Linked DNA regions of Elephas maximus indicus. The protein of the gene in region 2 binds, or shares a complex with, the protein of the main gene of each other region. Links are inferred from orthologs where the notes say so. Each region holds a gene or a part of one and is shown on either strand. Other genes may lie near its edges.

Region 1 (15,973 bases), on a different chromosome or scaffold from region 2:
ACAAGGGAGGGCTAGGTGGCAGTGGTGTCTGATATCTGCAGCCAGGTGTAGAGCATGTTTCAGACCAGTCATTTGGTGATTTCAGGGTCTCAGTTTCTTCGTTTGGAAAGTGGGATTATAGTACTTTTTTATAGTGTTGCTGTGGAAGCTGTAGTGTCCTGCTTGAGTCATCTCTCGTAACCTGGTGTTTTCTACTGGCCCTGGGCAGGACTCCCAGGACAGCTCAGATGGAATTCCATCGGCACCACGCATGACTGGTAGCCTGGTGTCCGACCGGAGTCACGACGACATAGTCACCCGGATGAAAAACATCGAGTGCATTGAGCTGGGCCGGCACCGCCTCAAGCCGTGGTACTTCTCCCCGTACCCACAAGAGCTCACCACGTTGCCTGTCCTCTATCTCTGCGAGTTCTGCCTCAAGTATGGCCGGAGTCTCAAGTGTCTGCAGCGTCACTTGGTATGAGGGGCCCCAGGAGGCTGCTCTCCCAGCACCTCGTCCTGCCCCCACTCCTGCTTCTGACCCTCCTTTCTTCCCCAGACCAAGTGCGACCTGCGACACCCCCCAGGCAACGAGATTTACCGCAAGGGCACCATCTCCTTTTTTGAGATTGATGGCCGCAAGAATAAGGTCAGCAACTGAGGAGCAGTGGGGTGTCCTTGGAGCTGGTGGCCTGGGACACAGGAAGTTGAGCAGTTTCTTCCTGCTTAGGAAAACACTCACCAGTCTGGCCAACATGTTGGTTCAGCCCATTTTTATTGAGTACTAGTAGTGCTGGGATGTACTAGGATGACCAGAAACTAGACAGTCTCTGCTGAGACCCCGTGGCCCATGGGAAAGTCCTGCCAATGGCCTGTGACATCCCAGAGTGACAAGTGTCATGAGTCCAAGGGTGGGTTACCAGGACCCTAAGGAGGTAGTCCACAAAGCTTCACAGTGGTGATCTTTGACGTGAGAGGATTCTGAGCAGTGAGATGCTGAAAGGCAGGCCTGCTGTACAAGGATGGTGTGTGTGAAAAGCTGAAAGGCAGGGAAGATAGGAAGGTGCAAGGCTCTTAGAAGGGACAGAGTTTAGGTGGTGGAAACAAGGTCAGTAGGGGTAGCAGGGGCACCGCAGGTTTGGGGCTTCAGACCTCTATGCTCTGTGGCCGTGGGGAAGAAGGGGGTAATCTGGAGACTGCTGAGTGAGACTCCACCGTTGCAGAGTCTGCAGGATGGTGAGGGAGAGGCAGGCACCTTGAATAGCAGGTGAGAGCTCAGGCTGGTGTGAGGGGCAGCCTGAGAGGAAGATGAGGCATTAACCACTGATCTGTAGTAGCTAGGGTGGAGTTGGCCCAGCAGGTAGTTAAAAACTTCCCCTGAAAGTATAGAAGTTGTGCACAGGTGTGAGGAGGCAAGGTTCGTAATTTTGCCGGGGGCACCTCTCAGGCTGTTTTTTGTTAAGTTTCAGAACTTCCTGTTTGCATTGTAGATGGCAGCTCTGTTGCCAGGTGTGACTATGGGCTGGGGGTGGGAGGCTGTTCTGCTTTTTGATAACCAGATTCCCGAAATGCCATCCAAACAGAGGTCACAGCTTCTCTCATGTGCCCGGGCCAGAGTCTGACTTCATAGGAACCCATCTCTGTCTGTTGACTTGTTAAACAGAGGGCAGTGGAGGCCCCCCCGGCCAGGCCAGCATAGAGCTGTGGGGAGCAGGGGTGATCCTGCCCAGCTCACCGGGGAGCCAGGTGGTGGAGCCCTGTCACAGGGCTAGTACAGCATGAATAGATAAGCATCTGCCTGGTCTGGATTAATGGCCACAGCCAGGACAGGTGTCCAGAGGGTGACAGGTCTTTTCTTTTGCAGAGTTACTCCCAGAACTTGTGTCTTTTGGCCAAGTGTTTCCTCGACCACAAGACGTTGTACTATGATACAGACCCCTTCCTCTTCTATGTTATGACGGAGTATGACAGCAAGGGCTTCCACATCGTGGGCTACTTCTCCAAGGTGGGCACTCCTCAGGCTTCCCCTGTCCTGCTGAGCCAGGTCCCACCCCCGCCCACTCACTGCCTCTCTTCTGCAGGAAAAGGAGTCGACCGAAGACTACAACGTGGCCTGCATCCTGACCCTGCCTCCTTACCAGCGCCGGGGCTACGGCAAGCTGCTGATCGAGTTCAGTGAGTACTTGGGCTGGCTTTCCAGCGGCTGGTGGCGCGCACTGGCAGGCCCAGGGCCCGTGCCCCCATCACCAGGGCGCGCGCACACATGTGCACACACAGACACACACATACACACCAGCCTGTGATTCTCAGACCTGGCTATGCAGGGGAGCTAGCCAGAAATAAAGATGGGGGTCTGCCAAGGTTCTCGCCTTTTGGGGTGGCTGCCTGCTCGTCTGGAGCAGGCTTATCCTTCTGCCCCACTGGTTCTTGGCCAAGGCTCTAAGCATCACCCAACTTCTTGATCTGACTCATCTCCTGCCCCAGCCGTGGGCAGAAGTTGTGGGGGCCACTGTCGGGTACCCATCTGGTACTGTGCTGAGATACAAGTTTCTAGGCCAGGACCTATGTTAACGTCCCCAGGTGTCCCCAAAGCCTTGCAGATGCTAGGTATTCAAACTGTTCACTTTTCTAACAGATGTAAGCACCAACATGCATGAATTTGCCCCCAACTCCTTGTATTCGGTCAGATAAATCTTTAAAAGCTGAAGGGCCCCACGGGCCTCATCACATACGGATGTTTCAGTGCCTCCCCTCCCCCAACTCCGAGGACCCTTCTGATTTCCAGCCTCTTACCCTGGCTCCATTCATCTCAGCACTCAACCATTTGAATGCCAACTTTTCAGAAATCTTGTTTTGTTTTTTTCAAGCTCCTCTGATTCTGGGAGGCAGGCAGAGCTTTAGCTGATAGGCTGAGACTTCACTTCACTTCACCAAGGTCACAGTCTATTTGAGAAATGTTAAGTGATCACATGATGCCAGGATGAAGTCATCTTCAGGAAGTTTAGCCTGGTAGAGCAAGCAGACTCTTAAACTCAGGTTAAGCACTGAGCTCAGACCTAAGTGTACAGAAGATGTGGTGGTCAGGATGGCCTGCCCAGCAGGGCCCCCAAAGCACCATTCCAGGCAGCTCAGAGGGCAGGGGGTGTTTGCTGGGGAGGGGCCAGGAGCCGGTTGTAGCTGAGGAGGTAAGTGTGGCCACCAGCCAATGTGTTAGGACCATGCATGCATTATGGACCCCACAAAGCTGAGTATATTTGAAAGGCCTCCTCTTTGGTGCGTTCTCCAACCAGCCAGTCTGAACTGGTGGGGAGGCCACAGGAGACTGGGTAAGAGGATACCCCTGGCTGATAAAGATACCAGGAAAGCAGAAGGGACAAAGGTTCACTGTGAGGCTGGTTGTGGCTCTTCAGAGGTAGTGGGGACATCCCAGTGTCCTGACAGGAGACTGAACACCTTGCCCAAGTGTGGGAACCCACTCAGCTCTGCAGGGACTCCCCAAGATCTGCTTGCCACTGCCTACCATAGCCATCTCTGGGTTCAGCTTCAGCTGCCCCTTGGACAGTTCCAGTGCCCAGCTGTCCACATGTGAGGGCAGGAAGGAGCCGCTTTGGAAGCAGTCACCTGGCTGCAAGGAAGGGCCTCCCTCTGGCTGGGCAAGCACTTTGGTGCGCCTGCTCTCTGGATCCACCTTGTCAGTCCCCAGGACAGCCTAGTCAGCCTCTGAGGTGACGGCAGGGTGAACTGATTGATCTGAGAGAATTCAAGCATCCTCAGGCCTGGATTAGAGATGGAGCACTGCCCCCCTTCTCTCCTCACATGCCCAGACACAGCGGAGAGTCTGGGATCACAAAATGGTGACACCATTCCTTCCATAAGCCATTCTTCCTGCAGCCCCCCAGCACCCCTTGTATTAGCTACTCATTACAATGCACAGTGCCCCCACACTGTGCTCAGCACATCCAGGTGAAGTGGTCAGAAAAGGTCAGCAGGTGACAGCACTTGGCATATGTCATCCTTTGATTATGTGACAGTCCTATGAAAGAGGTTCCGTTGTAAGTCCTTTATGAGGAAAACAGGCACAGAGCAGACAAGCCACATACCCAAGGTCACAAAACTAAGTGGCAGGGCCAGGACTGACCAGGGAGTGGGCCTCCACCATCCATGCTTTACAACGTTGGTTGCGTTAGCCTGTGACCCTTACCCACCGTCTCCTGCCCCATTGCTTTAGGTTATGAACTCTCCAAAGTGGAAGGGAAAACAGGGACCCCTGAGAAGCCCCTCTCCGATCTTGGCCTCCTGTCCTATCGAAGCTACTGGTCCCAGACCATCCTGGAGATCCTGATGGGGCTGAAGTCAGAGAGCGGGGAGAGGCCACAGATCACCATCAAGTGAGCCTGGCCCAGCCCAACCTACCCAGGGGGTGCATGGCCTGGCCTTTCTGTCCCCAGCTCCCTCACTTCCTCCTGGGGTCCTGGGGCAGAGGGGAAGGCCCTCAGCGGACCTGACCTCTTCCCTCCCACAGCGAGATCAGTGAGATCACTAGCATCAAGAAGGAGGATGTCATCTCCACCCTGCAGTACCTCAACCTCATCAACTACTACAAGGTAGGGGGACAGGCAGGGCAGACAGGTCCCTGGGAGGGGGTGCAGCTCTGGGGTGGGGGGCGCTGACTTGCCGACCCCTCCCCCTACCCAGGGCCAGTATATCCTCACGCTGTCAGAGGACATCGTGGATGGGCACGAACGGGCTATGCTCAAGCGGCTGCTTCGGATCGACTCCAAGTGTCTGCACTTCACTCCCAAGGACTGGAGCAAACGGGGAAAGTGGTGACCAGACACTGTCCACGGCATTGTCAACAGAGCAGGCAGGACTGGTGCTGACAGCACAGCCTTCCCCAACTAAGGCCCCCAAGAGGCCCAACAAGGGAGACGGGGCTGTGGACTGCTCCACAAGGACAGGACAGGCCTGGCAGGGGCCACTGGTGCCCAGTGCCTGAGCTTGGCTCAGGCCAACTCCAAGGTTGGCTGGCTGCGGGCCCAGGCCTGCTCCAAACCAGGGACTGGAAGGAGCCTGGCAGCTGTGTACAGTGAGGGGCAGGCTAGGGGCGATCTGCACAGAGGGCTGGTTGGATGTAAAGATTCCTTTTGTAAAGTAGGAGTTGGGGGTGGGTGGGTATGCAGAATTCTGGCCTCTCTCACCCCTATTCCCCTCGCAATAAATTGTTTCTATAGGCCAGAGCCCCAGAAGGTTCTTGTTCTTAGGGACAGTCTTGGTGGCTTCAGGGCTCCAAGGTGCCACAGACTCACAGGCACTTTGAAGAGCTCATTTATTGGGGTGATGGGATCAGTGGCTCTCAAGTACAGGGCTGGTTCAGTGGGGTGCAGGGATCAGTGGATTTCAGTCCCAAGCTCTGGTTCTCAGTCTTCAGGCACCTGTGCGTGAATCTGTAACAGGAGTCACCTGCTGTTGGATTTCTGGGGCCACATACCTGAGACAGGCCCAGCTGCTCAGAATGATAGCCCTTTCTAGGCCTCCAGAGAAGAGTGGTGGGGAAGCCCTTCACCCAGTCTAATCCTGCCCCATTGTGCTCCCCGGCCCTAGAGCCCCAAATCCACTTGGGGGCAAATTTCTGGCCAACCCAGCATCAAACTTTAAAGGAGAAGGGCCCGTCCTTACACTCACCGCTGCAGCGAGGCTGGGCCAGGTCAAGGCCCCGCGTACTTTTGCGTCCGGGCCGGGGACGGTCTCCAGGCCCCACAGGTGGAAGCTGGCAAAACTGGCAGTGGCCCTGAGAAAGCGGTCCTAAGGGAGGGGCCCGGCTCAGAATGGAAGCGCCGCTTCCGCCCGCACCCCCTTCCTGCCCCGACACCCTCTGCTCACGAAGTCCCGCTCCATTGGCTCCGGGCGCTCCTGCTGCTCTTTCTCGTCGTCGTTCTTTGAACCCCTCGATGCGTATTTCCTTTCTAACACCTCTGCCTTCTCGTCCATCACCATCACGTATCCCGCGAGGCCACGGGGCACCATCACCTTCTCGCCCCGCAGAAGGCGGCCCCGAAACGACACCTCGAGCCCTGAAGGGAAGAGTCGCAGGACCTAGGTCAGGCGAGAACCCAGGCACAGGGCGCCCAGTGCGGCCCTCCCGCCACCGCCGGGCGGACTACGAGCCCCAGGCGCCCTCGCGGCGCTGCTCGCCGAGGGTCGCGCGGCGCGGGCGCGGGGGCTGCCGGGAGCCGTAGTCCGGCTCGAGCGCTGACCTGCGGGCCGCTGGCGGATGGCCGGAGTGAAGAAGCGCCCGACGGGGGCGGGCCGGTTAGCCAGGATCTCACAGGGCAGTAAGTGCAGCGTGACGGGGGCAGCGTCGCGCAGCGTGGCAGGGCGCAGGTGGATGCGGTGCTTCTCGGTGGCTTCCTCATCGCCGCTCTCCATCCTCCGGTCGCCGCGAGTCTGTGTCTGGCTGAGGCCAAAGCTGGCGCGTAAAGCGCGCAGAGCCTCTCGGGAGGCCGGGTACAGTCAGCGCAGAGCCCCATGGACAGCGTAGTCCTTCTCCGAGACTCCTCTGCAAGCCCCGCCCCCAGCTGGTTAAAGTCCCAGCTTTCTTTAAATGTCTTTTTTAATCCAAAATTAATTTTAAAAATTGTGGTAAAATAGACAGAAAAATTGCCATTTTAACCATTTTTAAGTGTACAATTCAGTGGCATTAATTGCATTCACAGTGTTGTGCTATCATCACCACTATTTCCAGTTTTTCTATCACCCCAAATAGAAATTCATACCCGTTGAGCCGTAACTCCCGGTTCTCCCTCCTACGGGCCCACGGTATCCTCTAGTTTACTTTCTGTCTCTGTGAATTTGCCTATTTTAGATATTTCTTACTACCAATTGTCTGTCAGTTTGTTGTACTGTGTGGTACCTTGTGAGTTGCTATGATGCTGGAAGCTTTGCCATCAGTATTTCAAATCTGCCCTATGGTAGAACTGATTTCAGTGGAGCTTTCAGACTAAGAGACAGATTAGGAAGAAAGGCCTGGCAGTCTATTTCGAAAAATCAGTCAGTGAAAACGTTATGAATCACAACAGAATATTGTCCAATATAGTTCTAAAGATGAGCCCCTCCCTCTCAGGTTGGTAAGACCCTATACAATAGCTGCAACGATAGACTCAGACATACCAATGATCAAGAAGATGGCGAAGCACCGGACAATGTTTTGTTCTGTTATACATACGGTCAACAGGAGTCACGCCCGGCAACTTGTTATTAGGTACCATCAAGTTGGCTCCGACTCATAGCGACCCTATGTTCAATAGAATGAAACACTGCCTGGTCCTGAGCCATCCTCACAATCATTGCTATGTTTGAAACCATTGTTGCAGCCACTGTATCAATCCATCTCGTGGAGGGTCTTCCTAACAACAACAATTTCATATATTTGGAATCAGAATATTTGTCTTTTTGTATCTGACTTATTTCACATAGCATAATGTTTTCAGTGTTCATCCATGTTGTAGCATATATCAGAACTCCATTCCTTTTCATGGCTGAGTGATATCCCACTGTATGGATAGACTACATTTTGTTTATCCGTTCATCTGTTGATGGACACTTGGACTGTTTCCACCTTTTGACTGTTGTGAATAATTCTGCTATGAACATTGGCATACAAGTATGTTTGAGTTCCTGCTTTCAATTCTTTTGGCTGCACACCTAGGAGTGGAAGTACTGGGTCACACAGTAATTCTATGTTTAGCTTTTGAGGAAGCACCAAACTGTTTTCCATAGTGGGTATACCATTTTACATTCACCAGCAATGGATGAGCTTTCCAGTTCCTCCACATCCTCCCCAACGCTTATTATTTTCCATGTTTTATTATTATTATTATTATTATAGCATTCTAGTAGGTGTGAAGTGGTATCTCATTGTGGTTTTGGCTTGGATTTCCGTAATGACTAAATGATGTTGAGCATCTTTTCATGTGTTGGTTGGCCACTTGTACATCTTAAATAGAAAGGTCTATTTAAGTCCTTCGCCCATTTTTAAATTGGGTTGTTTTTCTTTTTGTTATTGAGTTGTAGGGGTTCTTTATGTATTTTAGATAAACTCATATCTGATAAACCTTTATCAGATATATGATTTACAAGTATTTTCTCTCATTCTGTAGGTTAAGAATTTTAGCTCTTAAATTTAGGTCTTTGGTCCACTTTAAGTAAATTTTTGTATGTGGTGTAAAGTAAGGGTCCAACATCATTCTTTTGCATGTGGATACTCAGTTTTCCCAGCACCATTTGTGGAAAAAATTGGTTTTTTCCCCATTGAATGGTCTTGGCACCCTTGTCAAAATCAATTGGCTGTAGATGTGAGGGTTAAATTCTGGGGCCTCAATTCTAACCCGTGGGTTTATATATTTATTCTTATGCCAGTATTACACTGTTTTGATAATTGTAGATTTAAAATGAAGATGTGTGAGTCCTCCACTTCACTCTAATTTTGCAAGATTGTTTTGGATTTTCTGGGCCCCTTGAATTTTAGGATTGGTTTTTCCATTTCTGGCATTTTGATAGGGATTGCGTTGAATCCATGGATCACTTTGACATCTTCATCTTTACAATATTGTCTTCCAATTTGTGAACATGGAATGTCTTTCCATTCACTTATATTTTCCTTAATTTTTTTTCAGCTTCAGTGTAAAAGTTGTGTTCTTTCTTGGCTAAATTCATTACTAAGTATTTTATGCTTGAATTTTATTTTCATTTTTTTCAGCTTGAAATATGCCAACCATGTTCTTCCCTTTTGGTTTTCTAACTCCAAGTCTTTGCACATTTCATTATTATACTTTACCTTGTCTCAAGCTGCCCCTTGAAATTTTCTGTTCATCTCTTTTACTTCATCATTTCTCCTGTTCACTTAGCTACTCGGTGCTTAAGAGCATGATTCAGAGTCTCTTCTGACACCCGTTGTGGCCTTTTCCTTCCTTCCTGTCTTTTTAATGACCTTTTACTTTCTTCGTGTATGATGCCCTTGATGCTGTTCCACAGCTCTTCTGGTCTTCAGTCATTAGTGTTCAGTGTGTCAAATCTGTTCTCGAGATGGTCTCTAAATTCAGGTAGGATATATTCAAAGTCATGCTTTGGCTCTCATAGACTTGTTTTGATTTTCTTCAGCTTCATTTTGAACTTGAATATGAGCAATTGATGGTTTGTTTCATAGTCAGCCCCTGGCTTTGTCTTGACTGATGACATTGAGCTTCTCCTTATCTGTTTCCACAGATGTAGTTGATTTGAATACTGTGTAATTCATCTGGTGAGGTCCATGTGTATAGTTGTCAACGTGTGTTGAAAAAAGATATATCCGATGAATAAGTCATTGGTCTTACAGAATTCTATCATGTGCTCTCTGGAGTATTTTCTGTCACCAAGGCTATATTTTCCACTACTGATTCTTCTTTTTGTTTCTAACTTTCACATTTCAATCACCATTGCAATCAGTGTCATTAAATTGTAAATCTGGAAGCTGTGACCCAGGTACTCAGTGATTAAGAGCTCAGGCTGCTAACCAAAAGGTTGGCAGTTCAAACAAGGCTAGCATTAATCCAAAAACCACAAAATAATAAATGTTGGAGAGGTTGTAGAGAAGCTGGAACACTTACACACTGCTGGCAGGAACGTAAAACGGTACAACTACTTTGGAAATTGATTTGGTGCTTCCTTGAAAAGCTAGAAATAGAACTACCATACCCATCCCCTGCTGTCGAGTCGATTCCGACTCAGAGTAGAACTGCCCTATAGAGTTTCCAAGGAGCACCTGGTGGATTTGAACTGTCGACCTCTTGGTTAGCAGCCGTAGCACTTAACCACTACACCACCAGGGTTTCCAGAGCTAGCACACGATCCAGCAATCCCACTCCTTGGAATATATCCTAGAGAAATAAGAGCTCTCATACGAATAGATATATGCACACCTATGTTCATTGCAACACTGTTTATAATAGCAAAAAGTTGAAAACAAACAAGATGCTCATCAACAGATGAATAGATAATCAAATTATGGTATATTCACGCAATGGAATACTATGCAATGATAAAGAACAACGATGAATCCATGAAACATCTCATAACATGGATGAGTCCAGAAGGCACTAAGCTGAGTGAAATTAGTCAGTCACAAAAGGACAAATATTGTATGAGACCACTATTATAAGAACTCAAGAAAAAGTTTAAACACGGAAGAAAACATTCTTTGATGGTTACAGGATGGGGAGGGAGGGAGAGGGATATTCGCTGATTAGATAGTAGAAAGAATTATTTTAGGTGAAGGGAAGGTCAGTCAACACACAGTACAGCAGAAGTCAGCACAACTGGACTAAACCAAAAGCTAAGAAGTTTCCTGAATACAACCAAACACTTTGAGGTACAGAGTAGCAGGGCAGGGATCTGGGGACCATGGTTTCTGGGGACATCTAGGTCAATTGGCATAACAAACTATATTAAGAAAATGTTCTGCATCCCACTTTGGTGAGTGGCGTCTGGAGTCTTAAAAGCTAGCAAGCGGCCATCTAAGATGCATCAATTGGTCTCAACTCACCTGGAGCAAAGGAGAATGAAGAACAACAAAGACACAAGGAAAATAAGAGCCCAAGAGACGGAAAGGGCCACATAAACCAGAGACTTCATCAGCCTGAGACCAGAAGAACTAGGTGGTGCCTGGCTACCACCAATGTCTGCCCTGACAGAGAACATAACAGAGAATCCCTGATGGAGCAGGAGAAAAGTGGGATGCAGAACTCAAATTCTAGTGAAAAGACCAGACTTAATGGTCTGTCTGAGACTGGAGGGACCCCAGAGGACATGGCCCCGAGACAGTCTTAGCCCAAAACTAAAATCACTCCTGAAGCCAACTCTTCAAAGATTAGACTGGACTATAAGACATAAAATGATACTAGTGAGGAGTGCGCTTCTTAGCTCAAGTAGACACATGAGACTATGCCGGCAGCTCCTGTCCAGAGGCGAGATGAGAAGGCAGAGGGGGACAGGAGCTGGTTGAATGGACATGGGAAATACAGGGTAGAGAGGGAGGAGTGTGCTGTCACGTTATAGGGAGAGCAACTGCGGTCACATGGCAATGTGTGTACAAGTTTTGGTATGAGAAACTGACTTGAATTGTAAACTTTCACTTAAAATTTTTTTTTTTTTTTTTTTTTTCACTTAAAGCACCATAAAAAAAAGAGAGAGGAAAAAAAAAAAAAGATTGGCAATTCGAATCCACCGGCTGCTCCTTGGAAACCCTATCAAGCAGTTTTACTCTGTCCTATAGGGTTGCTATGAGCCAGAATTGACTCACAGCCACGAGTTTGGTTTTATTGTTTTTTTACTCAAACAGATACAGTGTTCATTGCAGCATTATTCACAGTAGCTAAAAGGTGGAAACAACCCAAATGTCTACCAACAGATGAATGAATAAATCAAATCGATGTTCCATTGTATTTATAAACCTGGTGTATAGATATAATGGAATCTTATTCAGCCAAAAAGAGAAATGAAGTTCTGATGCAGGTTATGACATGGATGAACTTTAGAAACATTATGCTAAGTGAAATAAACCAGATACAAAAGGACAAATGTATGATTCCACTTATATGAAATATCTAGAATAAACAAATGCATAGAGACAGGAAGTAAATTAATGGCTAAACTAGGAGCTAGGGGAAGGAGTCAATGGGGAGTTATGGCTTACTGGGTACAGAGTTTCTGTTTGGGATGATGAAAACTTCTGGAAATAAAGAATGGTGATTGTATAGCATTGTGAATATAATTAATGCCACTGAATTGTACACTTAAAATGGTTAAAATGACTAAATTTATGTTATACATATTTTGCCATTATAAAATTTCAAAATTGGTTACTGGGTTATTTGGTGCATAAATATTCATAAATATTATATCTTTGTGGTGAATTAGGACTTTTAGCATTAAGTAGTACCCTTCTTTGTCGTGTTTAAATACTTTGTGGCCAGAATTCCACTTTCTCTGACATCAAGATCGCTTTCTTTGCTTTTTTATTGTTTCCGTCTGCCTGGTATATCTTCATCCACCACTTTATTTTTAGCCTTTCTGAATCACATTATTTTAGGTGTGTTCTTGTATACAACATATAGTTGGGTCTTGCTGTTTTAGCCAAATTAAAAATCTTTTTCTTTAAATAAGTGAGTTAGACTGTCTTAGTTATGTGGTGATGCTATGACAGAAATAACCATAAATGGGTGGCTTTAACAAACAAAAATTTATTTTCTCACAGTTTAGGAGGCTAGAAGTTCAAATTCAGAGTGCTGGCTCTAGGGAAAGGCTTTCTCTCTCTCTGTTGGCTTTGGAGGGAGGTCCTTGTCGCTTCAGCTTGTTTCCTTGTTCCTTGGAGATCTCCATGAGGCTTGGCATCAATCTCCCCCTATCTTTGCTTGCTAGATTTCTTATTTAATCTCTTTTATCTCAAAAGAGATTGACTCAAGGTATACCCTACACTAATCCTGTCTCATTAACATAACAAGGGCAATCCATTCCCAAATGAGGTTATAACCACAGGCATACCCACCCAGTGCCATCGAGTCCATTCCAAGTCCATTCCAACTCCTAGCGACCCTATACGACAGAGTTAGGATTTACAACACATATTTTGGGGGGGACACAATTCAACCCATAACATAGGCCTATTTATTTATCAATATAATTTATATTTTTGGTCTCAAGTCTGTAACAATATTTCATAATTATGTCAATTTTGTTATATTTGATGTTTATTTCTCTATGAAGATGTGTATTTTTTGTCTTTATATTTTAAAAAGTGGTTTTCAGGCATGGACCAGTATCCTGAAACTTGCCTTCAAAAATGGAGGGTGCCGAGAGACCAAAGAAAGAGGCAGGCAACTCCAGCATGGTAGCGAGGGAGTTTATTATGGAGACTTACATACAAGTCCAAGTCCTTGGCAGATCTTCGCACCCCACAGTGGGAGGGCAGTTTTGTATTAGAGGTAGACAATAGTGGCTACAGGCCAGGGGCTTACATAAGAATAATTCAGCAAATAGAAGTGAACTAGTGGACCACATGAGGGCACTGATATTCAGCCTCTCAAATCCTGTTTCCCCTTCAGTCCACCCCTCAAGGCCAACTCCTTCAGTCTGGCACATTCCCCCTCTCTTGCCACAGCAGGAGAGACCCTTCTCCCTTCCTACTGGGAACAGGTATAGAAGTGGGTTGGCCAGGTGCTGTATGGTGCCTGTGCATGTGCAAGAGACAAAGTTACTGTGTGCCCAGAACAGGGGGCAAGTTTCTCTAATGAGAAGGAACTGGGAGAGTGAAAGTGACCCGATTCCCAGCCTCGTTATCGGAGAGTGTTCTGGGCCCAAGGCCTTTATTTAGGCAGGCTGGATGGGAGGCATAGAGGCAGACCATTCCCCCAACAAGTGGTATTTAGGAGGGTTTGTATTTTTGTTCCTCGTATTTCTATCTCTTGAAAAAAAAAAAAAAAAACCTTAGTTCCATGTTATTATTTTATCTTCTGTCATCTGGTTTATTCATTTTTAGTGGTATCCTTTAACTCCTACTGATTGCCTGTTGTATCAGTCAGGGTCCAATCAGGAGAGACAGCACACAGTAATCTGAACAGAGAAAGTTTAAAGAATTACTAACTAACCTTAGAAACAAAGACATAAATATATAAAAAAATCAAAGGATGGAAAAAAGTATCAAGCAAACAGCGACCAAGGAAGTGTGAGAATGGCAATACTAATCTCAGATAAAATAAACTTTAAAACAAAATCCACCATAATAGACAAGGAAGGACATTATATAATGATTAAAGGGACAACCCACTATGAGGACATAACCATAATAAATACCTACACACCCAGTGACAGGGCTCCACAATACATATACTCTAGCAGCACCGAAAAGAGGAATTGACAGTTCCACAATAATAGTATGAGTCTTCAACACAACACTCTCGGTAAAGGACAGAACATCTAGAAAGAAATTCAGCAAAGATACAGAAGATCTAAAGGCTGCAAGCAACCAACTTGACCTCACAGACATATATAGAACACGTCACCCAGCAGCAACAAAGTACACACTCTTTTCCAATACCCATGGGATGTTCTCCAAAATAGACCACATCTTAGGCACAAAGCAACCTTCAACAAAATTCAAAACAGTGAAATAATACAAAGCATCTTCTCTGGACACAATGCCGTAAAAGTGGAAATTACTAACAGGAAGAGAAAGGAAAAAAGATCAAATACATGGAAAATAATAACACCTTGCTTAAAAACCACTGTGTAATAGAAGAAATCAAAGATGGAATAAAAACTTCCCTAGAATCAAACAAGAATGAAAACACATCATACCAAAACCTCTGGGACACAGCAAAGGCAGTGCTCAAAGGTCAGTTTATAGCAATAGATGCATACATCAAAAAAGAAGTGACAAAATCAAAACATTAGCTACACAACTCAAACAAATAGAAACAGAACAGCAAAGGAAGCCCAAAGCCACCAAAAAAAAGGAAATAATAAAAATAAGAGCAGAAATATATAAAATGGAGAAAAGAAAAACAATAGAAAGAATCAACAAAACCAAAATTTGGTTCTTTGAAAGGATCAACAAAATCGAAAAACCATTGGTCAAACTGACAAAAGGAAAACAGGAGAGGAAGCAAATAACCCAAATAAGAAATTAAATGGGGGACATTACAACAGACCCAACTGAAATAAAAAGGATCATAACAGAGTACTATGAAAAACTGTACTCTAACAAATTTGAAAACCTAGAGAAAATGGACAAATTTCTAGAAACACACTACCTAAATAAGCTAACACAAACTGAGATTGAAAATCTCAATAGACCCAAAACAAGAAAAGAGATTGAAAAGGTAAAACAAAAAAACAAGCAAAAAAAAAAAAAAAGCCCTGGCCCAGATGGCTTCACTGGAGAATTCTACCAAACATTCAGAGAGGAGCTTGCACCAGTACTACTCAAACTTTTCCAGAACATAGAAAAGGAAGGGATACTTCCAAATTCATTCTGTGAAGCCAGCATAACCCTGATACCAAAACCAGGCAAAGACACCACAAAAAAAAGAATTACAGACAATATCTCTCATGAATATAGATGCAAAAATTATCAACAAAATTCTAGCCAACAGAATTCAGCATCATATCAAAACAAAAACAAAAACAAAAAAAACCACCAGAACCAAGTGGGATTCATACCAACTATGCAAGGATAGTTCAACATTAGGAAAATCAATCAATGTAATCCACTACATAAATACAACAAAAGAATCACATGATCATCTTATTCAACTCAGAAAAGGCATTTGATAAAGTCCAACACCCTTCCTGATAAAAACTCTCAATAAAATAGGTATAGAAGGGAAATTCCTCAGCATAATAAAGGACATCTATACAAAACCAACAGCCAACATCATTCTTAACAGAGAGAGGCTGAAAGCATTCCCCTTGAGAACTGTAACAACACAAGGGATGCCCTTTATCATCACTGCTATTTAACATTGTGCTGGAAGTTCTAGCTAGATCAACAAGGCAAGAAAAAGAAATAAAAGGCATCCAAATTAGTGAGGAAGAAGTAAAAGCGTCCCTATTTGTGGATGATATATTATACATACCCACTACCACTGCCATCAAGTCGATTCCGACTCATACCGACCCTATAGGACAGAGTAGAACTGCCCGATAGAGTTTCCAAGGAGCACCTGGTGGATTCGACCTGCCAACCTCTTGGTTAGCAGCCATAGCACTTAACCACTACGCCACCAGGGTTTCCAATATTATACATAGAGAACCCTAAAGACTCCGCAAGAAAATTACTGTAACTAATGGAAAGATTCAACAGAGTGGCAGAATACAAGCTAATCACACAAGAATCAGTTGCATTCCTATATGCCAATAAAGAGGACAACAAAAAGGAAATCAGGAAAGCAATACCATTTATAAT
Region 2 (16,230 bases):
CAGCTTCCCACCAAAAAACGTTTTCATAAAGACAAAGCCAGACCAGACGCAGATCCGTGTGGAAAATGTTAAGCAAGCTCCCTGCTGGAAAGCTGAGACTCCCACATTGCTGACTGCTCGCAGGACACGACTCAGCAAATGAAATATTTTCCAAGAAGCTGAGCACAAGTAGTCAGTGGTTGTCTCTGATCAGCACTTGCATTGGCCAGGTTCCCTAGTGCTAAGTGCTGCTTTGTCCCTTCAGAATACACTCTTCTGGAAGGAAGAGAACTTTCAGCCTACAAAGGCTGTTCCCAAACACCAACACACGTACACACAAAGAGCTTTCACAAGGAACAAAAATATCTCCTGAAATTTGTCTTCTGAGATTAACGACATGCCCTTAGGGAAGGGAGGGAAAAGATTTTTTTATGGTGATGAAAATAGATCTATAGTGGTTCTTCCTTCGCCATACGCTTTTTTTTTTCCCCCCCAAACTAGAAGCATTTCTTTTGGGCTCATAAAAAGGTATATCCACAAGACTATAATCAGAAATAACATTAATATAAATTTTCTCCAACATTAAATAGGAAAATTAGTTTCCCCTTTTAAATTTGATTCCTTTTCTAATCCTTTAATTAGAACATAGTTCTAAAGGATCCATTCATACAATATTTCACCTCCAGTTTTGCACTCCATTTGGAGAAACAAATCTGATATTAGTATTATTTGTGATTATCATTACGTTTCACATAAAAAGCTTGCTACTGTATCGGAAATGGACAGCCCTGTCTAAGGTAGACAGGCCTGGGATTCTCATCTCCCCAAAAGGAACTCATCCTCTACCCCCAAAAAACTGGCCCTTACTTATGGCGTTGTTATTGGTTGCCAGTGAGTCCCATAAATCCCCACTTAGGGCAAACCCACATGTATAAAGTAGGACCACTCCATAAGGTTTTCAAGGCTTTAACCTTTCGGAAACCAGTCACCAGGCCTATCTTCTGAGGGTATCTCTCGGGTGGGTTTGAACTGCCAACCTTTTTAGCTAGCAGTCAAGTACTTAACTGCACCACCCAGGGACTCCTGCTAGGTGCAGGAAAAAAGATAAAAAACACAGCCCTTCCTAAAATACCTCCTAATGTGTATTTTCATTAAATAAAGGGGAATAATTTTACTGCAGTTGAGGATGCAACCTAAAGGCCACTTTGATCTAATTTAATGGACGCTTTGACCAACCTAGGTGGACCCAAATGAGTTTCTTTATGGTCCTGAGATCATTTCTGTTCTCCTTTTTTTCTCACTTAACATTAAGGTTTCCAAATGTTTTACCATTTCCATGGAGCTGGGCAGGTAATCAGTATTACCCAGGCAAAAGCAATAAACGGAGTCTTACATCCTACACTCTGCGAATGTGTTCCTAGCTCACCTTTCACGCCTGGGGCCGCCTCAACTTAATAAAACTGATGAGCGTACAAAACTTGGACTACAGAAACATGTAAAAAATATTTCTTAAACATTTATTATTAGAAAAGCAAAGAGGAATGGAAACTTCCACCACATTCCAAAGATGTTAATGGCCTCTTATAATAACTGTAACTTCAAATAGGCTATCATTTCCAGGGCATTTTGGAGAAAACATTTAACACCATCTGAAACTACAAGGAATGCTTACTTTGCTGAAATGGGAAGCAGTCTGTCTCCACCTGCCTATGAAAATCAACGTCCCAAGTCAGAATACCTCACAAGTGTCCCTTCCAAGTTGCAGCTTTTTTTAATCTGCAATATTTGGCTTCTCCAGACAAAATGAAAACTAGAGGGTGAGACCTAAATCTTATTTTTAAACATATCTTCCAAGATAGAACACAGTACTCATGGTTCTAGTTCCAGTTGCTATCGAGTTGATTCTGCCCCATGGCAACCCTACACGTTATCAGAATAGAACTGTGTTTCACAAGATTTTCAGTGTTTGATTTTTCAGAAGTATATAGCTAGGCCTTTCTTCCAAGACACCTATGGGTGGACTCCAACCTCCAATCTTTTGATCAGCAGCTTAGTTTATTAATAGCGTGCACCACCCAGGGATTCCCCTTTCTGCTTACGGTAAGCAACTCAATAATGTGAATTAAATGTTGGAAAAAAGTATCATCTCAAGGTTAGGTGATTTTACATTTGTTTCACAGATAAATCTCTTAAAGCTCTGTTGGCCTGTTGGTTAATGTGCTCACTTTTCAGCCTATAGAGTAAGCTCTTCAGATCCCGGAAGTTTTTTAAAACTGAACACAGACTGCCTCCACCGAACAGTTTTGAAAATTTTTATATTAAACTTTGTTTTCTTTAGTAAGGCTGCAACTTCATGGTAGCTATGGTGCTCTCTGCCAAGGGTCTATTCTCCTCCTCTTCAGTGACAACTAGCTGGAATGACTTCCCACCTACTGGAAAAAACAGCAAACACATCTGTGAAGACGGCCTCATTCCCTGTGCTTCCGTGTACCCCCTTCACCACGTAAACCCTGGCCCAGCACAGAGAGAGCTAAGCCCGAGGCTGGCCATTCCTGTTCCCAATCCCAGCTCCCAGCTGCTACTCCTCACCGCTGAGGCTCCCAGTGGGGTCCCCGGACCTGCAGCAGCATCCTCTGGCGACTTGGTAGAAATGCACATTCTTGGGCCACCCCAACCTACTGAAATCAGAAACTCTGGGTGCGGGGTCCAGCTCCCCAGGTGATTCTGATGCCTTCAAGTTTTTGAGCCACTGATCCAGAGCCAAACCAAAAAAAAAAACAAACCCAGGGCTGTCGAGTCAATTCCGACTCATAGCGACCCTATAGGACAGAGTAGAACTGCCCCATAGAGTTTCCAAGGAGCACCTGGCGGATTTGAACTGCCAGCCCTTTGGTTAGCAGCCATAGCACTTAACCGCTACACCACCGGGGTTTCCTGATCCAGAGCAGCAGCTATCAAAGTGTGTTTGTGGACTTATCCTCAGAGCCTGCAGGTGGCACTGGAGGCCGGATGGAAGAGCTAGAGGCTAAGGATGCTCCAGTTTGGGCTGTTACAGAACCTGCCTGGATGACCACACAGTTCTTTATTATCAATTCACTAACAGCTGCTCAGCCACCCCCAGAGAGTTAAACGGTTACAGTACAGCTTAGAACAGGAACTGGGCCGAAACCGTTCTCACAGCCCAGCAGTAGATATACTAAGCCTACAATTTTCAGGAATACAATCAATACTTAAATCTTTCGAGGGTTTTAGTGTTTAATACAATGAAGATACAAACACACTTTTAAGAATGATGTCAATATTAAGAAAAATATAACAAAATTAAAAACTCAAATTACCCTCAGCTTTTTTGTGTGTCTGTATATTAACAACGCACTTGATTCTGAAAGATTAGAGTCCCATCCTTAAAATCGCATTGCTGTGACGGAAGTGCGAAGGAGGACTCTCCATGTAAAGCAAGTCCTTCACTAGACTGAAGCCAAAACCCTGACCTTCTCAGTAACTATTTTACTCTACAAACATCTCTGGTGAGGCTCTGAAGGAATAGAAAGTCTCATATGCTGCTCAAAAAAACACTGCTAGTGGGAGTGTAAATTGGAAAACTGTGGCACAACAGTTAAGCGCTCAGCTGCCAACCGAAAGGTCAGGGGTTCAAACCCACCAGCCACACTGGGGAAGAAAAGACCTGGCTATCTGCTCCAGTAAAGATTACAGCCTAGGAAACCCTATGGGGTGGGTCTACTCTGTCACATGGGGTCATTAAGAGTTGGAATAGACTCAATGGCACACAACAACAAACAACTAAAACTAAACATATGAATACCTAAGACCCAGCAACTCCACCCCTGATTATAAACTCTACAGAAATGAGTGCCATGTCTATCTAAAGCCTCCTAAAAAAGTATTCTTTGAAATGTAATTCATAATAGTTACAAACTGAAAACAATCCAAATGTTCATCTATAGTAGAAGAGATAAATACTATGGATATTCATCAGTGCAATGTACCCAATAAAAAAAAAAAAAAAAAAAAACCACCGCGACACACCTGGATGAACGTCACAGGCATGGGAACTGAAGAAGCCAGACACACGGGTACATACTGATAGAAACAGGCAAGCCTAATCTCTGGCAAGGGAAGTCAGCATAGAGGTTACTAGAGATATTCAGGGAGGGGGCATGAAGAGCCTGCTGGAAAAATTCTGCGTCTCCACCTGGGATGGTTACAGGGCTGTGTACATATGTAAAAGATGACCGAACTGCACACTTAACTCTTTATAAAAGGAGGAAAAATCAAACGTACACACACACAAAATTCTTCACAGACTGCCATGTAACAATTTTCAGTATCCTCGCTATGAGTCGGAAACGACGCGATAGCACTATTTTTTTTTTTTTTTACCATACAAATCTAGACTACTGGACAACTATATCATCACCAGAAACCCTGGTGGCATAGTGATTAAGAGCTGCGGTCGCTAAACAAAAGGTCGGCACTTCGAATCCACCAGGCGCTCCTTGGAAACTCTATGGGGGCAATTCTACTCCGTCCTATAGGGTTGACTGGACGGCAACGGGTGTTTTTTTTTTAATCATCACCAGTGTGTATTTACCGCAAAAACTCCCTGCATTTGCTGAGCTCAATCTCAAAATTAACAGTGAACAACGGATTTTCCTTTTTTCCAGTGTTATGCCACAATCCTATTATCGTATCAAAAGGCCAAACCTTTTTACAGTGTTTGCACCCCTTTTATTTGGCACTTAATGGTCCCTTCTCGTTTGGTCGTCCGTCACTGGTAGCTCATCCTCCCAAGCCAGCTGTCTTGGAGGGCTGGTTATCTTCCTCAAGGAAGAGCCTAGCTCCAGCCTCAGTGGTAAACGGCCTGAATCGCTTTGAACCTCCCTTGTTCTAACCACTACCAGGATCCGGCTTCCCTTACTCCCAAGGGAATTTCTACTGCCTCGCTACCCAACGCTTGTCAGAGGGCATGGACCGTGCTAACAGCGCTATCTTCCAAGGCGACTCCGGGCCTACTGGATCAGTCGGCACCTAAGCCAAATGCCCAGTGGGGCACTTCAAGTTACACCCAAATCGCAAAACCCCAGGCCCTGCAGTGCGCCCTAGGCTTCGCCCCACCCTACCCCCGCGCCCTCCGCAGGCCAGAGCCGATCCCTCTCGCCCACGGGACCCACGAGGATCCGAGCTAGGGACACACTCGGTCCGTGTCCTGCTTTGGGCTTTGGTAACGGCATCCAGCTGTAACATGGGATACAACCCAGTCTCACAGAGCCTCGGCCGCTGCGCATGGGCCGAGCGCAAAGGGGCCGGGGTCGGCGCGCGGTGGGGCAGCGGGTGGGAGCCGAACACTGAGGGCCCGAGGGCGGTCGGGGCGGCGTCATGGGGGCCAGCCGGGCCGTGGCCGGTGCGCGGAGGGGAGGGGGGCCGGGGGGAGTCAAAGGTTGGCTCACGGAGGAGAAGCGGGGCCGTACCGAGCACTGAGACACCGAGGGCCGCGCGCGGAAGGGCGGCGAGACCGGGGCCGAGCGCAGAGCGGCGGGGTCGGCACGCGGAGCGGAGGGGGTGTGGGCCGAGCGCTGAGGGCCGTGGGTCGGCGCTCGGAGGGGCAGCGGGTCCCGGGCCTGGCGCAGAGGGGGTGTTGCGCCTGCCACAGGTTGGGGCCCGCGAGGTCGTGCGCGGCCCCGCTGGCCGCTCCGCGCGTTCCCGGCCCAGCGGCGTGCGGCCCGAGGCCGGGCTCGGCGTTCCCTTCCCGGCGGGCGTGTTTACCTGGAAGCAGGAACACGTACTGCCGGGCGTGAAGCCCGTCCCCAGAGTCCACGGCGGCGGCCATGCTGCCCGCCGATCCCGGGACACGAGCACCACGCGGGGCGAGCCCCGGAGCCGCGAGCCTCAGCTCTTGGAGCGCGGGGCCGGCTGCGCGCGGGTCCCGACTGAGAACAAGCCGAAAATGGCGGGAGAAGGGTCTATTCCGGGTAGCGCGGCGCGCCAAGGGTCTGGGAGAGCTAGGAAGCGGCCCGCGGTACGAATTTGGTTTCGTTTCCGGGGCTGGTCGGCTGCTGGTGCTCAGCACTTCCCTGGCGTCATTTTTAAGTTTAGCGCCAGGCCGAGGCGGCCGTAGTACCGACGCACTACCAGCCGGCAGGAGGAAGGGGCCGCGATCTCTCCCCTCCGATACTCGGCCAGTGGTAGGTGCTGGCCGCGCGGGGCGGTGACCCGGGGACGCGGCGGCGGCGACGGGCGCGGGCGGGGTCGCCTGGGCCCAGGCCTGGCTGCAGACGCTCGGTCACAACGCCCTACAGCTCCACCCGCGAGGTTCTTGGGGACGCCGAGTGACCCAAAGTGGGAGGGCGTCACGGGGAGCAAGGCCCGGATCCCAGGGTGTGGGCCTGGGGGACGAATGCTGTCCTTATACACCGAGGGGGAAAGCCAGGAGAAGAGTCCATGTTAGGACAGTGGTCGTAACATCTGAGTCCTAGTGAACGCAGACGTGGTAACTAGGATCTCAGTAATTATCAGTTGCATTCTGCTTTAAAGTTAATAGTAGAATATTGTTTGCGCTGTGACTCATAAAACATGTAAGCAGCCCTGAAAGTCTGAATGAATTTGTTTATTATTTTGGAAGATTGAGTGATGAGTTAAAAGTTAAAGGATTTTAAGAGTAATGTTTCAAACGTTAGGATTTTGAGATTTAAGCTTTTAAAAATAAAATTTTTAATTGAAAAGGGTAATTCCTTGTACATAATTTAAAATATATATATATATATTTTTTCTTTCTTTCTTAAAAAGTAAGTCTCCCTGCTACTTCAGATCCCCAGTCCCCCTCTTCAGCGATAATTACTGTAAACACTTTGTCTACCAGAATTCTTCCCCTGCAAATACAAACTTATGTGTTTTACTTTTGCGCAAAGGGAAGAATAGTATGTTCAACTCTCCTGCACTTTGCTTTGTTCTATCATGAAGAGAGTTAAATTTGGAGAGAGAGATCTCATTCTGCCTTCTGAACGGATAATTAACTTCGCTCCTACTTCCAGTGGAATGAGACAGATGCTAAAGTTGACTGCAGGGGTGGCAGAGGCCAGTTCTGGGGCAGGGTAGGCAGCAGGTTGGTGTTGCCCTGATCTGCCTGTTCTCCCTCGAGATTATACTGTCTGAAAAGCTATCATGTAGGCCAAACTCCCAGACACACCCACAGTTCCCTTGCTCTCACACACGTAGCTGTTTTCATTTTTCTCTGATTTTTTCCAGCCCTTGGCTGTGTGAATGTATATTTTTATGTGGTTATTTTCATAGCATAAACACAATTTTTTCTGCTTTTTCCGCTTAACATCGTAAGCATGTTTCCCATGATATTCAGAACTGTCATTAGTAAAGGCATGCTATTTCACACTGCTAATTTACCACGGTCACTTAATCATTCCCTAGTGTGCAATGTTTAGTTTAATACAAACTTATAAATAATGCTGCAATGTATAATGTAAATGGACTATACAGCAGTTCCAAGCAATGAACTAGATGTATATATAGCAACGTTGATCCTTTGTATTGATAGGAAAAAAGCAAGACACAGGAGAAATTTATAGCAGACTACCATGTCAGTCAATTACAAACACACGTAATACGATACTACATATTTTACCCAAAACTAGTCTGTCAGTTTGTTGTGCTGCGGTGGCTTGTGTGTTGCTGTGATACTGGAAGCTATACCACCGATATTTAAAATGCCAGCAGAGTCACCAATGGTGTATGGGTTTCAGCGGAGCTTCCAGACTAAGACAGACTAGGAAGAAAGGCAGTCTACTGAAAAAATTTGTTAGTGAAAACCTTATGAATAGCAGTAGAACATTGCCTGATATAGTGCCGGAAGATGAGCCCCTCAGGTTAGAAGCCACTGAAAATACAACTCGGGGAGAGCTGCACTCTCAGAGTGGAGTCGACCTTAACGACGTGGTGTAAAGCTTTCAGGACCTTCATATGCTCATGTGGCACAACTCAAAATGAGAAGAAACACCTGCAAGCATGCATTAATAATCGGAACGTGGAAATTGGGAATGGTCAAAAATGAAATGGAATGCATAAACATCAATATCCTGGGCATTTGTGAGCTGAGATGGACTGGTATGGCCATTTTGAATCGGACAATCACGTGGTCTACTATGCTGGGAATGACAAGTTGAAGAGGAATGGCATCTCATTCATCATCGGAAAGAACATTTCAGTACGTATCCTGAAGTACAACGCTGTGAGTGATAGGATAATATCCATATGCCTACAGTTAATAAGATTTTCATTTTTACGCACCAAGCACTAATGCCAAAGATAAAGAAATTGAAGACTTTTACCAACTTCTGCAGTCTGAAATTGATCAAACAGGCAATCAAGATACTTTGATAATTACTGGTGATTAGAATGTGAAAGTTGGAGACAAAGAAGGATCTGTAGTTGGAAAATATGTCAGTGATAGAAAGGACATTAGAGATTGCAAGACCAATGACTCATTCATTGCAAATACCTTTTTCAGCAACACAAATGGTGACTATATATGTGACCTCACTGGATGGAATATAAAACCAAAACCAAACCAATTGCCGTCAAGTCGATTCCAACTCATAGCGACACTATAGGACACAGTAAAACCACCCCATAAAGTCTTCAAGGAGTGCCTGGTGGATTTGAACTGCTGACCTTTTGGTTGGCAGCCGTAGACACTTAACCAGTACGCCACCAGGGTTTCCAGATGGAGTATACGGGAATCAAATGGACTACATCTGTGGAAGGAGACTATGGAAAAGTTCAATATCATCCATCAGAATAAGGCCAGGGACTGACTGTGGAACACACCATCAATTGCTTATATACAAGTTCAAACTGAAGCTGAAGAAAATTATAACAAGTCTGCGAGAGTCAAAATACAACCTTGGGTATATCCCACCTAAATTTGGAGACTATCTCAAGAATAGGTTTGATGCATTGAACACTAATGACTGAAGACCAGACAAGCTGTGTGATGACTTCAAGGACATCATACCTGAAGAAAGCAAAAAGTCATTACCTTTGTCGTCTAGTGCTTCTAAAACAGAAATACCACAAGTGGATGGCTTTACAAAGAGAAATTTATTCTCTCAGAGTCTAGTAGGCTACAAATCCAAATTCGGGGCATCAGCTCCAGGGGAAGGCTTTCTCTGTCAGCTCTGGAGGAAGGCTTAGGTCATCTGTCTTGGCCTAGGAGCTCCTCCATACAGGAACCTCAGCTCCAAAGGACACACACAGTCTTGCTCCTAGCACGGTTTTCTTGGTGATATGAGGTCCCCATGTCCCTCTGCTCGCTTCTCTTTTTTATATCTCAAAAGAGATTGCCTTAATATACTATCTAATCTTGTAGATCTCATCAATATAACTGCCACTAATCCATCTCCTTACATCATAGTGATAGGATTTACAACACAAAGGGAAATCACATCAGGTGGCAAAATGGCAGATAGTGACACACTACTCAGAATCATGGCCCAACCAAGTGGACAGACGTTTTGGGGAACACAATTCAATCCATGACAGTCATCAAAAAGAAAGAAAGAAAAGGTCAAAATGGATGTCAGAAGAGACTCTGAAACTTGCTCTTGAACGTAGAGTAGCTGAAGTGAAAGGAAGAAATGACGAAAGGAGGAAAAGAGCTGAACAGATTTCAAAGGGTGGCTTGAGAAGACAGTAAAGTATAATGAGAAGTGTGAAGACCTGGAGTTAGAAAACCAAAAGGGAAGAACGTACTCAAGCCTTGAGTTGCAATATTGAAGGGTTATATGGGCAAAATACTGAATGACGCAGGAAGCATCAAAAGAAGATGGCCGGAATACACAGAGTCACTGTACCAAAAAGAACTGGCTGATATTCAGCCATTTCGGGAGCTAGCATATGACCAAGAACCACTGAAGAAAGAAGTCCAAACTATACTGAAGACATTGGTGAAAAACAAGGCTCCAGGAATTGACAGAACAGCAATTGAGATGTTTCAACAAACGAATGCGTCACTGGAGGTACTTACTGGTCTATGCTGAGAAATTTGGAAGGCAGCTACCTGGCCAACCAACTGGAAGAGATCCATATTTGTGCTTATTCCAAAGAAAGGTGATCCAACAGAATACAGAAATTATTGAACAATGTCGTTAATATCACACATAAGTAAAATTTTGCTGAAAATAATTCAAAATGGTTGCAGGAATACATCGTCAGGGAAAACCCAGAAATTCAAGCCAGATTCAGAAGAGGACATGGAACAAAGGATAGCATTGCTGATGTCAGATGGATCTTGACTGAAAACAAAGAATACCGGAAAAATGTTTACCTGTGTTTTATTGACTATGCAAAGACATTCAACTGTGTGGGTTATTACAAATTAAGGATAACATTGGGAAGAATGGGAATTCCAGAACACTTAATTGTGCTCATGTGGAACCGGAACATAGACCAAGAAGCAGTCGTTCGAACAGAAAAAGGGGATACTGTGTGGTTAAAAATCAGGAAAGGTGTGTGTCAGGGTTGTATCTTTTCATCATAATATTCAACCTGTATGCTGAGCAAATAACCCAAGAAGCTGGACTCTATGAAGAAGAACACAGCATTAGGATTGGAGGAAGACTCATTAACAACCTGCAATATGCAGATGACTCAACCTTGCTTGCTGAAGGTGAAGAGGACTTGAACCACTTACTGATGAAGGTTAAAAGAATACAGCCTTCAATATGGATTACATCTCAACATAAAACAAAAATCCTCACAACTGGACCAATAAGCAACATCCTGATAAACAGAGAAAAGACCGAGGTTGTCAAGGATTTCATTTTACTTGAATCTACTATCTATGCTCGCAGAAGCAGCAGTCAAGAAATCAAATGACTTACTGCATTGGGCAAATGTGCTGCAAAAGATCTCTTTAAAGTGTTGAAAAGCAAAGTTGTCACTTTGAGGGTTAAGGTGAATCTGACCCAAGCTGTGGTATTTTCAATAGCCTCATATGCTTGTGAAAGCTGGACAGTGGATAAGGAAGACCAAGGAAGAATTGATGCCTTTGAATTATGGTATTGGGGAAGAATATTGAATATACCGTGGACTACCAGAAGAACAAACAAGCCTGTCTTGTAAGAAGCACAGCCAAAGTGCTCCTTGGAAGCAAGAATGTCAAGATTTCATGTCACATACTTTGGACATGTTATCTGGATAGACCTGTACCTGAAGAAGGAGATCATTCTTGGTTAGGTAGTGGGTAAGAGAAAAACAAGATGGATTGACACAGTGGTTGTAACAATAGACTCAAACATAAAAACGATTTTGAGGCTGGTGCAGGACTGGGCAATGTTTTGTTCTGTTGTACAGAGGGTCAGTATGAGTCAGAAGCAGCTTGCTGGCATCTAGCAACAACATTTTGTAAAGATACATACATATTTAAGGCCAGGTCGCTATGAGTCAGAATCTGTTGGCAGTGGGTTTGTTTGTTTTTGTTTTGTTTTGTTTTTGGCTTAAACACATAAAAAATGGATATATTTAAAAAGGAGGAGAAAGGGTAGAGGCAAGGTGCAGGGAAAATAAAGAGAGGAGCCAGGGCTCACATTTACAGGGGTCGTTATGCCCTATGGATGAGAGTATAGTTAACTCCTTATCCCTTAGGTTCAAGGACAATTTTTTTTTAAGTGGGGCCACACTTGTACACCAATGTTCATTGCAGCCCTATTCACAATAATCAAAAGGTGAAAACAGTCTAAAACTGTATCAACAGATGAATGGAATAAACGAAAATGTGGCGTATCCATACAATGGAATATTACTCAGCCATAAAGAGAAATGAAGTCCTGATACATGCCACCATGGATGAACCTTGCAAACATTATGCTCAGTAAAATAAATCAGTCACCAAAGGACAAATATTGTATGATCCTTATTATGAAATATCTGGAATAGGCAAATTCATAGAGACAAAGTTCATTAGCGATCACCAGGGACAGAAGGGAGGGGGACGCTCAGGGGACACTCAGTTCCTGTTAATGGTGGCGGAACAATCTGGAAACAGTGGTGATGGACGCACAACATGATGAATGCAGTCAGTGTTGCTGACTTGTACCTGTAAAAAATGTTGAATTGGCAAATGTTTTGTTATATGTATTTTTACCACAATAAAACTTTTTTTTAAAAACGCTGCCACAAACACCTCTAAACAAATTCCTTTATCCCATTTTAAAAAAAAAATTATTTAAGTACCTTCTTAAAAAGGGGACCAGCAGTTGGTGTGGAGACTGACCGTAGGTCCTTATTGTCTCAGGATAAAGTCCAAGAAACTAGGCTTTGCACATGTGGCCCTTGGAGATCTGTCCTCTCTTGCCCCTCCAGCCACAATTTCTGCCCCATCCATACTCCACCACCGGAAGGAGCGTGCAGTTCTGCCCTGGGTCATGTCCAGCATTGGACATGGTGTTTCCAATGCCCAGACCACTCTGTTCTCCATTGGCTTCATCTCTGCCCCTTTGCCTCCACTGTCCACCACCACCTGCCCAATTTCTCCTCATCCATCAGGTCTGACTTCGACAAGGCGTCTTCCATGGCACTCCTCTCCGTGACTCCTGGTGCCCCGCCCCACCCCCAGTGAGTGAGTTGCCCCCAACCTTCATTTTTACCTCACTGTGTAGTGGAGTCAGATTGCTCCACAGGCTCCACTAGCAGGCTGTGAGTTCCCGGAGAGAACGGCCGCATCTAGTAATTCACCGCTTTACCCTCAAAAAATAACAAAGGTTCTCCCTTGCTGAGTGCTAACTGCCAGGCACCGCACTAAGCACTGAACTTGACTTATCTCTTAGTCCTCCAAAAGCCCCACCCATTGCCAAGGACTCAATTCCAATTCGTGGCGATCCCACGTGTGCAGAATTGAACTCTGCTCCGTACAGTTTTCTTGGCTGTGCCCTTTCAGCATCAGATTGCCAGGCATTTCTTCCGTGGCATTGTTGGATGGGTTCTACCTGCCAACCTTTATGTTCGTAGTCAAGCATAAGCCACTCGTGCCACCCTGAGACCTCCCCAAGAGCCCCAAGGGGAAGTTTTAGCATGCTAACCCACATGTTACAGAGAGAGAACATGAAGTTGAGAGACAGCAAGCAGTTCCAACCAAGGCTGTGGGACTCCAGAGACTGGACTTTCCCCTCCCCTTCCTCTCACTGCCCAGTGTCTAAGGCTACATTGTATGGGCACAGAGCACATGCAACAGACATTTTTTGAACAAATGTTTATGTGGTGAGATAGGTAGTCATGGTAACAGTCAGCAGCTTATGGTGTTTCATAATTTATAAACAAGAATGAATTGGCTGCTTCTAGTATATCATAATACCTTTCATAAATTTGATTTTACATTACTTAGTTAGTCAAGCTGCCATGCAAAGAGACAAGCAAGTCATTCTCCAAAAATAAGAAGGTAGCCACAACCTTAACACTTCTGAATAGAGATTCAGAGACACATTTAAATGCGGAAGCAACAAGTGTTAATTTTCTGGCAGGAAAACAAAACGGCAAACCCAGTTCAGAGTGAATGCCCTTTAGTCATGCTTAGTTAAGGCGACCAGAGCAAGAGGGAGCTTGAACCGCGACTATGGATTTCTCTTACGAATTACTAAAAATGTATGAGAAGGCTTCTTTCAAAACGAAATAAATATGAAAATCTACATTTCTTATGACTTATATCTGGAGGGAGGGTTGTTGCCAAATGCTCATACAGTGACAACACAGTCCTCAAGGAAGGAGGAGAAGAGGGCCAAGAGTTTAGAAGGGACCAATGAGGAGTGGTGCTGAATTGTTGTTTCGGGGCGGGGGAGGAATTAATTGCTCTTCTGTTCACCCTCTTGTTCAAGCCGAGGTGGTGTTACATTGTACCGTTGTAAAAGGGGCAGCGTGGTACATACCTTTGAGATCTGCCCGTTGTACAATGAGAATGACTGCCAGGAGTGAGAAAGGAAGAAGTGCAGCCCCTGACATTCAGAAGCTGGCCTGGTTCTCGGCTAGACCATGTTACCCTCCCATTAGACGCAAACAGTCTCACAGGCCACCAACCCCAGACAAGGCTACTCTGAGACTTAGGATAAACGAGACAAGGCAAGGACTCTTTTGCCTAAGCACAGAAACAAGGTTGCTGTGCCACCCACAAAGTACCAAACATCCCTCTCTTGGCCAAAATAAGGGACTAGTGCTTCTTTACCAATTACAGCTTTATCCTCATTCTCGTCCCCCCTCCCTACAGATAAGAGTCAGTGAGATGTCCAACCATAAAATTGCCCCCGTTTTCTGGCAGCATCCAATCTAGAGTGAACCCTAGACCCTCCCCCAGCTCATCCAACCAAAGCCCAAACCCTATAATAGGTTCTGTCTAACTTCCTGATTCTGAGACACTCCATGATTTTCCCGGGGGTGTGTGTTCTCCCTCCTGCCGAGAGTCATAAACCGACTTGTTCAATGACACGTGTGTAAATGCCATGCATGTCAGTGGTGCTCTTTGGCTGCAGTGTATTGACACTAAGTTCACCCATTTCTGTGCATACACACACCCAGTTGTCAGTTTGTTGTACTGTAGTGGCCTGCATCTTGCTGTCATGCTGGAAGCTCTGCTACCAGAATTTCAAATACCAGCAGGGTAACCCATGGTGGACAGGTTTCAGCAGAGCTTTCAGACTAAGACAGACTAGGAAGAAAGGCTTGGTGATTTACTTCTAAAAAATCAACCAATGAAAACCCTATAGATCACAACAGAATATTGTCCTGTATATTGCTGGAAGATGAGCCTTCTAGGTTGGAAAAAAAATTTTTTTTTTTTTTTAAATACACAGTGGCCACAACAATAGACTTGAGCATAACAACAACGGTGAAGATGGTACAGGACCAGGCAACGTTTCATTCTTTTCTACGTGGGGTCGCCATGAGTCAGAGCCGACTCAGCAGCAGATAACAACAAATAATAATCTAACTTTTAAAAAACAACTACTTCGTATATACTCCTTAGAACAATATCTAGATCAAGCTACCTTTTCTGGATTAAGTACGCGACGACATTGCTGTCTTCATTAGGTACCAGCAACAGCCCCTCCTTCTAACTATGCTGGAAAATCTAAGTCAGAAAAAAAATGAAATGTCCCATGTACATAACCCTCCTTTCCTTAGTGGCAGAACCAACCCCAGTGTAGGCCTTTATTTACTGGGCTGGGTGGCTCCAAATAAAAAAAATCCAGCACCAATCACATTGAGCTGGTTCTTTTTCTCCCTAAATTTCTGCAATAAACCAACCAACTCCATGATTTATTTCCTGACCTCCTTTACAATTTCATTTTCCACATTGGATAAATATGTAAGTTCAGTCAAGATACATGTTTTGATGATTTTGCCTAGATTGGCTGTCTTAAGACTATAAATTGTAACCAGGGGCTCGTATTTCAACATGCTCTATACTCCTCTGGGATGATTCCTAGAAGTTGGTGGGAGCACTTGTCCTGAGCCAGATGAGGAATGGCCCCTGTGAGAAGAAAATGTAAAATGGAATGGCTGCTTCAAAGAAGAGTTAATCTGAATCAATCCAGCAATGTTTATTGATACCTATTCTATGCCAGACACTGATCTTGTTGCTTGGACTACATCAGTAAACAAAACATAAAAAAATACTTGCCCTCCTGGAGTTTACATCTAGGGGAGGGAGATAGGCAAGCCATGCACATAATAAATAAATCGTATAGTGCAGTAAAGGGTGACTAGGACTATGGAGAGAAGAAATACAGCAGGGAAAGGGGTTTGTGGGTACAAGAAGAGCTGCAATTTTAAATCAAGTGATCAGGGTGGTCCTCACTAAAGAAAGTAATATTTTAGCAAAGACTTGAAGGAAGAAAGGGACTTAACCACTGAATATCTGAGGGAAGAATGTTCCAGGTAAAGGGAACAGCTAATGCAAAGGCCCTGAGGCTGCAGCTTATGTGGCATGTTCAAGGACAGCAAACGAGCCTGTGTGGCTGAGCGGAATGAGCAAGGGGAGAGAGCTGTAGGAGATAAGGTCAGAGATGTGAGGGTCTTGCAGGCCATTGAAGAGGGTAAAATGAGATCCACTAAAGAGCTGAGAGAGAAGTAGAAACAGAGAGTAATAATGCATAAGAAAACAACTTTAAACAATTTACAGCCAAGGGGAAAAGGTAGAACAACCAAGAGTACAGGCAAACCCCCGATTACGAACGT

What was found.
Region 1: the proteins of RNASEH2B (region 2) and RNASEH2C are in contact, whole or in part, in a crystal structure (PDB 3PUF), measured with the Homo sapiens proteins. The link is inferred for Elephas maximus indicus from reciprocal best matches to the Homo sapiens genes RNASEH2B and RNASEH2C. Residues at the interface, in NP_078846.2 of Homo sapiens: Arg14, Gln15, His16, Val17, Phe18, Leu19, Val20, Ser21, Glu22, Leu24, Leu35, Met36, Phe37, Val38, Lys39, Leu52, Glu62, Lys64, Phe66, Glu68, His70, His71, Ser72, Trp73, Phe74, Ile75, Asn76, Gln77, Ser78, Val79; in NP_115569.2 of Homo sapiens: Ile9, His12, Arg13, Val14, His15, Leu16, Ser18, Ala27, Thr28, Leu29, His30, Leu31, Leu32, Pro33, Cys34, Glu35, Val36, Ala37, Val38, Asp39, Gly40, Pro41, Ala42, Pro43, Val44, Gly45, Phe48, Phe63, Val75, Pro77.

The regions. Positions count from the first base shown.
Region 1 is NC_064825.1:128,863,823-128,879,795, forward strand, and holds RNASEH2C (ribonuclease H2 subunit C), read right to left. Parts: upstream 6,462-15,973; 5' UTR 6,406-6,461; coding exon 6,234-6,405; intron 6,051-6,233; coding exon 5,860-6,050; intron 5,782-5,859; coding exon 5,662-5,781; intron 5,424-5,661; coding exon 5,397-5,423; 3' UTR 4,967-5,396; downstream 1-4,966. Other genes in the region: histone acetyltransferase KAT5, read left to right, coding at 209-457, 539-628, 1,844-1,984, 2,061-2,154, 4,208-4,367, 4,502-4,583, 4,675-4,809.
Region 2 is NC_064832.1:27,075,872-27,092,101, forward strand, and holds the start of RNASEH2B (ribonuclease H2 subunit B), read right to left. Parts: upstream 6,277-16,230; 5' UTR 5,828-6,276; coding exon 5,764-5,827; intron 1-5,763. UniProt on the Homo sapiens protein: Non catalytic subunit of RNase H2, an endonuclease that specifically degrades the RNA of RNA:DNA hybrids. Participates in DNA replication, possibly by mediating the removal of lagging-strand Okazaki fragment RNA primers during DNA replication.